2 linked regions of the Canis lupus familiaris genome follow. The protein of the gene in region 2 binds, or shares a complex with, the protein of the main gene of each other region. Links are inferred from orthologs where the notes say so. Each region holds a gene or a part of one and is shown on either strand. Other genes may lie near its edges.

Evidence for each region. The genes of interacting proteins can lie anywhere in the genome.
Region 1: TRIM21 (region 2) and SKP2 share a complex: the UniProt entries of both Homo sapiens proteins name them as parts of the SCF(SKP2)-like complex. The link is inferred for Canis lupus familiaris from reciprocal best matches to the Homo sapiens genes TRIM21 and SKP2.

Annotation. Positions count from the first base shown.
Region 1 is NC_049225.1:73,293,422-73,298,053, forward strand, and holds the start of SKP2 (S-phase kinase-associated protein 2), read right to left. Parts: upstream 3,229-4,632; 5' UTR 3,006-3,228; coding exon 2,962-3,005; intron 2,473-2,961; coding exon 2,201-2,472; intron 1-2,200. UniProt on the Homo sapiens protein: Substrate recognition component of a SCF (SKP1-CUL1-F-box protein) E3 ubiquitin-protein ligase complex which mediates the ubiquitination and subsequent proteasomal degradation of target proteins involved in cell cycle progression, signal transduction and transcription.
Region 2 is NC_049242.1:26,906,502-26,911,037, forward strand, and holds the start of TRIM21 (E3 ubiquitin-protein ligase TRIM21), read right to left. Parts: upstream 3,257-4,536; 5' UTR 3,138-3,256; intron 2,126-3,137; 5' UTR 2,079-2,125; coding exon 1,671-2,078; intron 1,184-1,670; coding exon 1,058-1,183; intron 57-1,057; coding exon 1-56. UniProt on the Homo sapiens protein: E3 ubiquitin-protein ligase whose activity is dependent on E2 enzymes, UBE2D1, UBE2D2, UBE2E1 and UBE2E2.

The DNA.
Region 1 (4,632 bases), on a different chromosome or scaffold from region 2:
GGATCACACCCTGGGCTGAAGGCAGCGCTAAACCGCTGAGCCACCCAGGGATCTCCTAACATTAAGTTCTGAAGAAAAAAAAAAAAAAAAAAACTACACTAACAAGGTCAGGCTAACTGGATTAAAGACAAAAGAAAAAGTGAAGTAGCTTCCCAAATGTGTGTCAGAAATTTTGTTGACCAAATTAACTAGGTTTATTTATTGTGTTATGAGCACACAGCATACTAAGAGCTTCATGTGCATTTTTTAACTTAATCTTCACACCAACCCATGAAGTGGGTATTATTATTCCATTTCACAAGAGAAACGAAGACACAGAGAGTTCATATAACTTCCCATGGCTGGTAAACAGCATAATTAGGATGTAACGTCAGATCCATCTGACTTCACCACAATCCTTTATTGCCTAATTAATTCACCCCCTCTCCTGATATAGATTTCCAGATCATAACCTGCCGGTTCTCTTTTCCAGTGAAAAAGTCAAAACCCAGAAACAATAGTTTTGTTTTTTTTTTTTAAAGCAACCAACCAACCCTTCTTCAAAGAAAGTCTGGTGGGAGAACTGAGGAATATACTTATTACCGTGGCTCTGCAAGACTTCATCTTAATTTCTTTTAATCTGCCTCTTATTCTTCCCCTATCACCCACCCAATTCCTGTTTAGGGTCCGATCGCCTCCTCTACAGACGACTTCAATAGCCTCCTGATTCTGTCAACTCTAATGTCAGAATCCATCCTTTTAACAAATCTCTAAGCTTCTATGCGTGACCCCCCTATAGTTTAATCCATACACATCAGTGTGTCCTTTTAACAGATGACATCACAAATCTGCTCAACACCACCTCTAGCCCTATCTCCCACTGCTCTCCCTTTTGCTCAGTCTGCATATGGCTTCCTTCTTCCTTGAGCAAACATGACATGTTTTTGCACCAGGGTCTTTGCACTGCCTTTGTCCTCTGCTTAGAGCCCTCTTCTCCAAGATATTTGCGTGGCACATTCCTCACACCTCCTGTATGCTTTTGCTTAAAAAGCTTGTGTCTAAGTGAGGCTATCCCTTAATATCTCTTAGTGAGGTTTAAAGTTGTAAACCATCTTCCAACCCCAGGACTTCCAATCCCTCTTGGCTTGTTCTCTACTTGTTTTTGGCCACAGTATTTACCACCTTCTTAACATATTATACACCACATTTATTATGTTTATTGCATCCCCCCTCTCAAACAGAAGCTTCATGAGAGCAGGAATGCTTATGTTTTGTTCCCTGCCTTATCCCCAACACATAGAACGATGCCTCCCACATAGCATGTGCTCAGCAAATATTTGCTGGATTAATGTTTTAAATGACTTACTGGCAAGAAAAACTGATAACCCTAAGTCATTGCACTGTGTTTACCCTATGGCTTTTGTACTCTTCGGATTCTGATCCACTCTGGGAGATACTCAATGACATGTCTGAGAAGCCTGGGGAAATGATATGGTGAGTTCTACATCTGAGTCAGTTCACTCTAGCTCTGGGGATGGATCAGGGGAGGATAAGACTGGAATTATGAGTCCATGCCAATATTCAGGCAAGAGATAATGAGAGTATGAAAAACATCTAGGAGACAAGAGGGAAACATTCAATGATTGGTTGGGGGCTGGAAGATGGTGGGAAGGGACTGGCCCTCAGGTTTCTGGCTGGGTGACTGAACAGATAATGTGGGCAGTAATGGAGACAGATCAAACCAGAAAAATCCCACTTGGGAGGTCCGAGGGATATAAGGCCCTACTCCTAGTTTAACATTCACGTTAGTAGTCCTTTGACAAATAACTAAAGCAATTATGGCAACAAACTCAACTGAAGCTACAGAGCAACGGAATATAAATAACAAAAATCCTACAAGATTATTGCTTATGTTCCCATTTAACAATGGCACTGAGCTGGCCTTTGAACACGCAGATTCCCTTCAAAGGGAAGGAGGCAGGAAGATCTTCTGGGTTAAAATTTCACATGGGTTAAAAGTCAATTGTGCACCTGGAAAATATATACCTACCAAGATTCCTGTAGATTTCAGTGACAAAGGGTTGTCCCATTGCTTTGGAAATCGACTTCAGAAGTAGGCAATTTTAAAAGCGTGCCATCCTAAAGATCGCTTAACAAAGATTAGCAATAAATAGTTCAGTCCACTTCTTAAGTGACCGACAGTTTTACCCTCATACCTTACCTGGAAAGCTGTCTCGATTTAGCTTAGGCCTGCGGACTATGACAAAGTCCTTGTCATTCCCCTTGCTTTTCAGCCGTTTTCGGGGCGGGCTCTGAGGGTGGCCCAGATTTGAGAGCAGTTCCTGGGGGATATTCTCACTGTCCACCTCCTCCTTCTCCAGAGCAGAGACCCCCATGCCCGACAGCAGTTCAGAAGTCTTACTAGAATCCCATCCCCACGTGAAGCTGGTGGTAACGTTGCTACTCTGGTCTGGAATCTCCTGGAGGTGTTTCCTGCAGAAATGCACAACAGCCCCGGTTTCTTTCAAAAACACACCCGTAAATAATTCAAAGATAGGCCTACATGAAACTCTAAGTTATGCAATGCAGAAAACTTTAAGAATTGCATTTTTTTTTAAAGTGCCGGCGGCGAGTTTCCAAGAAGGAAAAAAAGAAAATAACCGAACAAATCAAAAAGGCTTTTTGATTTACGATCACGGAGAAGGCCTCAAGAATGTCTTAAAGTGGAGGGAACAGACAAGCGGGGGGGGGAGGACGGGGGGGGGGCAAACGTACACCGGCAGGAAAGCTCAATAAGGGAAGGCAAAAACCGCACGCTGATCACCGCACTAAAGCATCCGGCCCCCCACACTTTCCCAAAGAAGGGGCTGAGCAACGATTCAATTACAACATTCACAACAGTATTAGCGCGTAGCAATATTCGCGGCCTAAAAGAATTGAGGCGGTTCATTCACTCTCAGCCCCCTTTTGCAATCGGTTTACCTATGCATGGCGTCCACAGCTTCTGGAGTTTTAAACGCGTGCATTAATTGCAGAACTGCACGCCTCCGGGATTCCCGCTTTGGCGCGCGGCGGCTCAAGGCGTGCAGCTCCGACCCCCAGCAGCGAGACCCGCGAACTCTAGCAACGTTCCATCCTCGCCGCGCGCGCGAGGGCTCTTCTACTCGCCCTCCGCCGCCGCCGCCGCCGCCGTCGGCCGCCCCGCTGCCTGCCGGGAACTGTAGTTTCCGTCTTGCCTCGTAGTCCCGCCGGCTCTGCGCGACGTCCTTCCTCGGCTGACTTTACCCGCCTCGGAGATACCCACAAGCCCCCGCGCCCGCGAGGCGGGGCCGTCCACGCGGTAGGCGGGGAAGCGGAAGTGGGCGGCGCTCCGGCTGCCTGGGAAATGTCAGCCGCCTGACTGGGGACGGATTTTCCTTACCCCGGAGCCTGCAGGCCTTTCTAGTGGTCGTCACCGCCGTCGCCCCGGATCGCCGGTCGCAGGTCCGGGACGGCTGTGGCGGACGCGGGGTTCCCGGTCCTTGTGCGGACGCTGTCTGGCCTGATGGGGAGGGCGTGAGCCCTGTGGGGTCTGCGGTCTGAGGCCGGGCGCTGGCGGAGATCGAGAGGACCTCGGAGACCCCGAGCCGCCGCCGCCGCCGCCACCGCGGGCCTTCGTTCCCGGCCACCGAGTGGAGGCGGCAGCCCGGTCCGCCGGCCAGGTGAGACGATGAGGGCCGCGGGCGTCCCACTTGCGCCCCCCCGCCCCCCCCCCGCCGCCGCCGCCGCCGCCGCGAAGCTGCTTCCTCCATCTGGGAGATAGTGACCCTTAGCACTGCGGGTCACCAGGTGCCTGTTCTGTAGGCACTACGGCTCCGAGGTTCCTCCCGAGAACACGCCTGACGTGAGGGGCAGATTACGCTTGTGGAAGCGCTTTGTAAACTAAAGCGCGGTTGGAAGGAGAGGCGGTGGCTTAATTTTAGGGGAGCAGGAGAACACGGCGGTTGCCACGGTGTGCGGTGGGACAGCTGCGCAGCCCCCTGGCAGCCCAGACGAGCTTGGGAACAGCTAAGGGGACGGTCGGTAGGTCTGTGAGGGCCGTGGAGCGCCACGCTCGGGGCCGCTGGGCTGCTCGCGCTCCGCCGACGACGTCCGGCGGCGTCGCCGTCTGAAAGGCGAGCTGCTGCGAGCCTGTCGCCGCCCGGGAGAGCCTGGGGGCGGCCAGAGCAGGGAGTGTGCCGCATTCCAGGTCGGATGACCGTGCGAAATCCACAAACGGTGACCCCTGGAGAACAGTGGAAGGGAGAGGGGAATAAATTCCAACCTTCAATTAAAAAAAATTAAAAAAAAAAAAAAAGGAGAGGATTGATCAAGTTCAGAAGTAAGCAGAGCCCTCTGCTAAGTCATCACAAAAATAGAGTATTGCTTGAGCATGCAGTACGACAATACCTTCAAGAACCAGTGTGAAAAAAAATAATAATAAAAAATAAATAACCAGTGTGACAGACCATTAAAAATGATTCCCTTTTTGCTGGAATTAAACCTCTCTTGCCCAGGTATGTGCTGGTTTCAGGCTCGGTGCTTGGTGCTTGGCTTGAAAAGTGACCAATTCTCGATTAAGCTATTCACGAACCTTTAGTTGTTTTGTTTTGTTTTTGTTGTTGTTTTTGTTTT
Region 2 (4,536 bases):
TTTATCTGCTGTACAAATTCTGCGTGAATCCTCCGTTTGTGTCTCTCAACCTGACTCTTTGGTGTCCATGGAAAGAGAGGATGATTTTGTCAAAATCCCCTAAGCCTGGGGAACAGAGGTGGTCATTTCCATTTCTATTCCCCATAGACTCACCACTCTGGGTCTGAGAGCAAACATACACTATTTTGCTAGAGCAGGAAGTGGGTGAGGCTTCTGGGCTAAGAGTGAAATGGGATTATGGTGGGGCACACTGGGGCTGTCCTACAACCACAGCTGCATTGACCTATGTTATCGACTTTCTACAGCCTCTTTCAAAACCCAGTCTGCACCTCGATGTGCCCAAATCTGTCTTCATATCTTAGTGAGTTCCTGAGAGAGTAACACCTGTCCCCACCCCAACAACCATCCAAACACAGGCTCATAACACTGTTCCCCAGGCCTGAGGAAAAGGAGTTTTGGGGATAATCTTGGCTGCTCTTCTGTTAGTGACTGGAAGGTCACCGATGGCACAGGATGAGTCCTTTTGCCACCACAGCCTGACTCACCCTTCTCTGATCCCAAATCTTCCTTTCTGGGCTCTATTGGCCATGAGTTCCCTCCATGCCCTTATAGATACAGAACAAGCTTTATTCTCCATCCTACTTTGGACCAGTGATCTGAACACAGTCAGAAAAACCAGCATGACCAGATAGTTGCCTATGTCTGACCTGGATTGTTCCCTTAAGTCTGTACCTCCTGACAGGCCTAGCCATTGGGCATCTCTCCTGAGAGACCACTGACCAGACATGGAGGCAAAGGTGCCGTCATGTTTTAAGACTAGGCTTAAGGAGCAGGAGCTTTAGGGTATGGCTTGTACCTCTCCGAAGGGTATGGCACCTTCTCCTAAGACTCTTGATTTTGCTATCTGATCTGAGCTCTCTCCTTTTTATTCACCTCTATCAAGAGACCTAGAGGACAGCTGGTTCATGGTGAGTGAGATATATTATCACTCCTCAGATGGGCATAGCTATGCTTAGGGTTTGAGTCTGGGGCCCTGGACTCTGCCCTGGCTTCTGACCTGAGATTCCCTTTGGAGCACAACACTTGCCTTCCAGGCTGCTCTCTTCATTGCAGTATTCACTTCCAACTCCTCAGCCAACTTTTGTTCTTTTCTCAGTTTCCTTAATGCCACCTTAAGCTTCTCCTGCAGAGAAAGGTAGGTTAGCGCCCGACCAGTCCAAGAAGTAGGGTGAGGCGCCATGAAGACATGCTGGTTCTTTGAAAAACTTGAGTGCAGAGAAAGAGGGAAGACTACAGTCTGATTGGGATAGAGATTCTGGGGATGGGAAGACTTTGGCAAGAGCCTGAGGTTTCTTTCAAAACACAGCCACGCTGTTGGAGGTGGTGGTGTGGAGTTGGAGCATTCCTCATTCCTAATTAACCAGAAGGCCACAAGGAAGTGTGATCCTTGCAGCGTTTTCCCAAGCGTACTCCCTGGTCCTGGGGAATGAGAAAGCTGTCCTGAGCTTGCAGTTCTCTGCTTCAATTAGACCTGGAAGGTGGGAAACCCCTTCCTTTTCCCAACCCTGAAACTCCACAGGTGACTTTGCCTCCCTCACTCTGGAGAACAAAACCCCAAGCACGGACCCAGCTCCCTTCTACTTGGTCAGGCCTCTGTGCTAAGTCCTTACCTGGTATTCCTGAGCAGCCTCCTCGACAGGGACCGTTTTGTGGTTACGGTGGTTCTGGGACTGGGAACATACCCAGCAGAGGATCTTCCCATCTTCCTCACAGAACAGGTGCAGTCTCTCTCCATGTACCTGACACCATTCCCTCTGTGTGACTTCATTGGCATTCTGGCCAATTTGTTTAAGGTTGTCCACCACGTTAGCCAGTGGCCAATTGGGCCGGAGGTTTCGGAGCAAGAAGGTGTGCTGACACACAGGACAGACGCCGCCACCATCTTTCCCCACCTCAGAGATGCATTTGTGGCAGAAGCTGTGGCCACAGTCAATGCTCATAGGCTCCACTACAGGATCCAGGCAGATAGGGCATGTGACCTCCTCCCACATCATTGCCAAGGGCATTGCTGCAGCCATAGGGGTGATGTTCTTAGTAAGCAGCACTGTGGAGATCCTGGGGTACCCTGGTGGGGAGAGGAGAGAGGGAAATGAGCAGAAGAGAAGGGTTGTGTGAGAAGAAAAACAATCCAAAGGAAAACACAAGGAACAGTGAAGTGGAAGGGGTGAAAACAACACCAGAACATTAACTTGAATAATAAGAGCTTCTCCTCTCTAGTCTCATCCACTTACCTAGTCAGACAGAAGGGGAAACTGAGTCCCCCAAAGAAACTGAATGTTGTTGAGAACTTCAGAGATAAAGCTGTTTATAACTCTATTTTCATCATGGCCCTCTCTGCTTCATCCTCTGTCCCAGGCTTTTCCTGTCCACTCTCTGCCCTCTCAGGTCACCAGTCCGCTGCTGAGCAGCTCATCTGTATGACAGGGACCATGTACTCTGTACACTCCATAAGCCAGAGAAGGTGCTACCTGCTTTGGAAATATCTTCATTATCTGCACAATAATCACAGGAGTTACTTCTATATCTGTGATTATATACATAAGAATATATTTCTACATATCTGTCTGTATGTATATATACCTGCAGGTATATGTGTGCATATGGGTACCTGTATATGTTTATATGCGCACATGAACAGTGCCTGAGCACTCCCTGGGCTCTCCTCTCCCTTCTGGGAACCTGGTAGCTGGCTTCATTGCCTCTGGGGCACAGACCCACAGGTTTCTAGCGTCTGAAACTGTCCTGCCCCCTCTCACCCCCAGAGGAGAAGTGTCGAGGGGAGTGCCCGGACTACACTCCGGGCTGGGCTAGGTTTCTGCCCCGGTGCCCCCCGCTTAGGGCAGCGCCCCCGGGGGCTTGGGTGTCACGTTCACATTTGGGGCCCCGTCCCAGGCAGGCTGCCAGCCCGGGAGGAACTGCTGGGGCTGGGGCTGGGACTGGGGCTGGGACTGGGGCTGGGGCTGGGCTAGCCCTGGGGGAACCGGGTCTGCAGGCCCCAGGGGCGAGGACTAGATGGGGCAGGGGAGAGAGGTCCCCCAGCCAGGGCGGGGGCACTCGGGTCGGGGCGAGTCACTCACCTTTTCAGGGCTTTCGGCAGCCGGCGGCAGGCTCCCTATTTCACTTTCGATTTCCCGTCGAGGCGTGTCCGAAGGGGGTGGGCCGAGGGGCGGGGAGTGGGAGGAGAGGGAGGCGCGAGGGGCGGGGGAGCAGGCGGGGCAGCTCGGGAGCCCCAGGCGGCAGGAAGTCCGAGCTCCGCAGCGTCAAGTCCTTGCTTCGCGTCCCCTCCCAGGTCCTCGGGGTCAAACAAGAAAATATCGCATCCACGGTGGAGGGGTCACGCTGCCTCCTCGGACACTGGTCGTCTCGCTCCACACCTACGTGCTGGGCGACGCCCACGAGTGGGAGCTGCTCTCAGGGAGTTAGGGAGGGTGGGATGGCGACAACGTGCCTGGGGCTCTCCCTTACGTGTCACCCTCTGCTTCCAGAAACAAGTCCTTTTCAGGAAAGGCTTGATAGTCTTTTAACATCAGCTGGTGAGGGATTTATGTACAGCACGATCCCAAGGCAGGTGTCATACCAGTGAATGGTAAGAAGAGAATTGACATTTATTAGGCACCAACGGTGTACTTGTCACTGAGCTAGGGATTTTCTGAGGTTTTCTTTTTTTTTTTTTTTAAATTATGGTAAAACATATGTAACAAAATTTACCATTGTAACAATTTTTAAGTATATAGTTCAGTGGCATTAAATGCATTCACATCATTGTATCCCCATCCGCACCACTCATACGACTTGTTTCATCTTGCCAAACTGAAATTCTGTTGCCTGTTAAACAGTATGTTCCCTCAGCACCCAGCAGCTACATTCAATTTTCTGTCTCTACGAATTTGACTTCTTTAGGTGCCCCCAACGTAAGTGGAATCATATAGTATTTGTTGTTTTGTGACTTATTTCACTTAAAAGGTCCTCAAGGTTCATCCATGTTGTACAAGCATGTGACAGGGTTTCCTTCCTTTTAAAGGCTGGATAATGTTCCAGTGTTTGTATATGCATTTTGTTTATCCACTCATCTGTGAATGGACACTTGGGTGACTTCCATCTTTTGACTCTTGTGAATACTGTTACTGTGTCAGGTTACATATTTAAGCCACATAACGATTTAGTGATTTAGGAGATGTTAAACTCACATTCCAGGAGAGGGCATTGAGTCTGAATGGAGTAAAATGACTTGAGACATAGTAAGAGGTGCATGAGAGTTAAAGGTCTAGGGAAGACCGTCATTTTAGTGACAGCCCAGAGATAACAGGCTGCCCTGTCAACTCAAGCAGAGACTGTGAGGAGGAAGGAGAAACAAGGAAGGGTGAGGAGACTAGAATTCTCAATTCCTTCCGACTCAGACATATTTATTTTTGTCCCTGTATACCTTAAGATAAAAACATCAGTTGAACTTTGCTTAATGTTTTCTATAGATTTAGG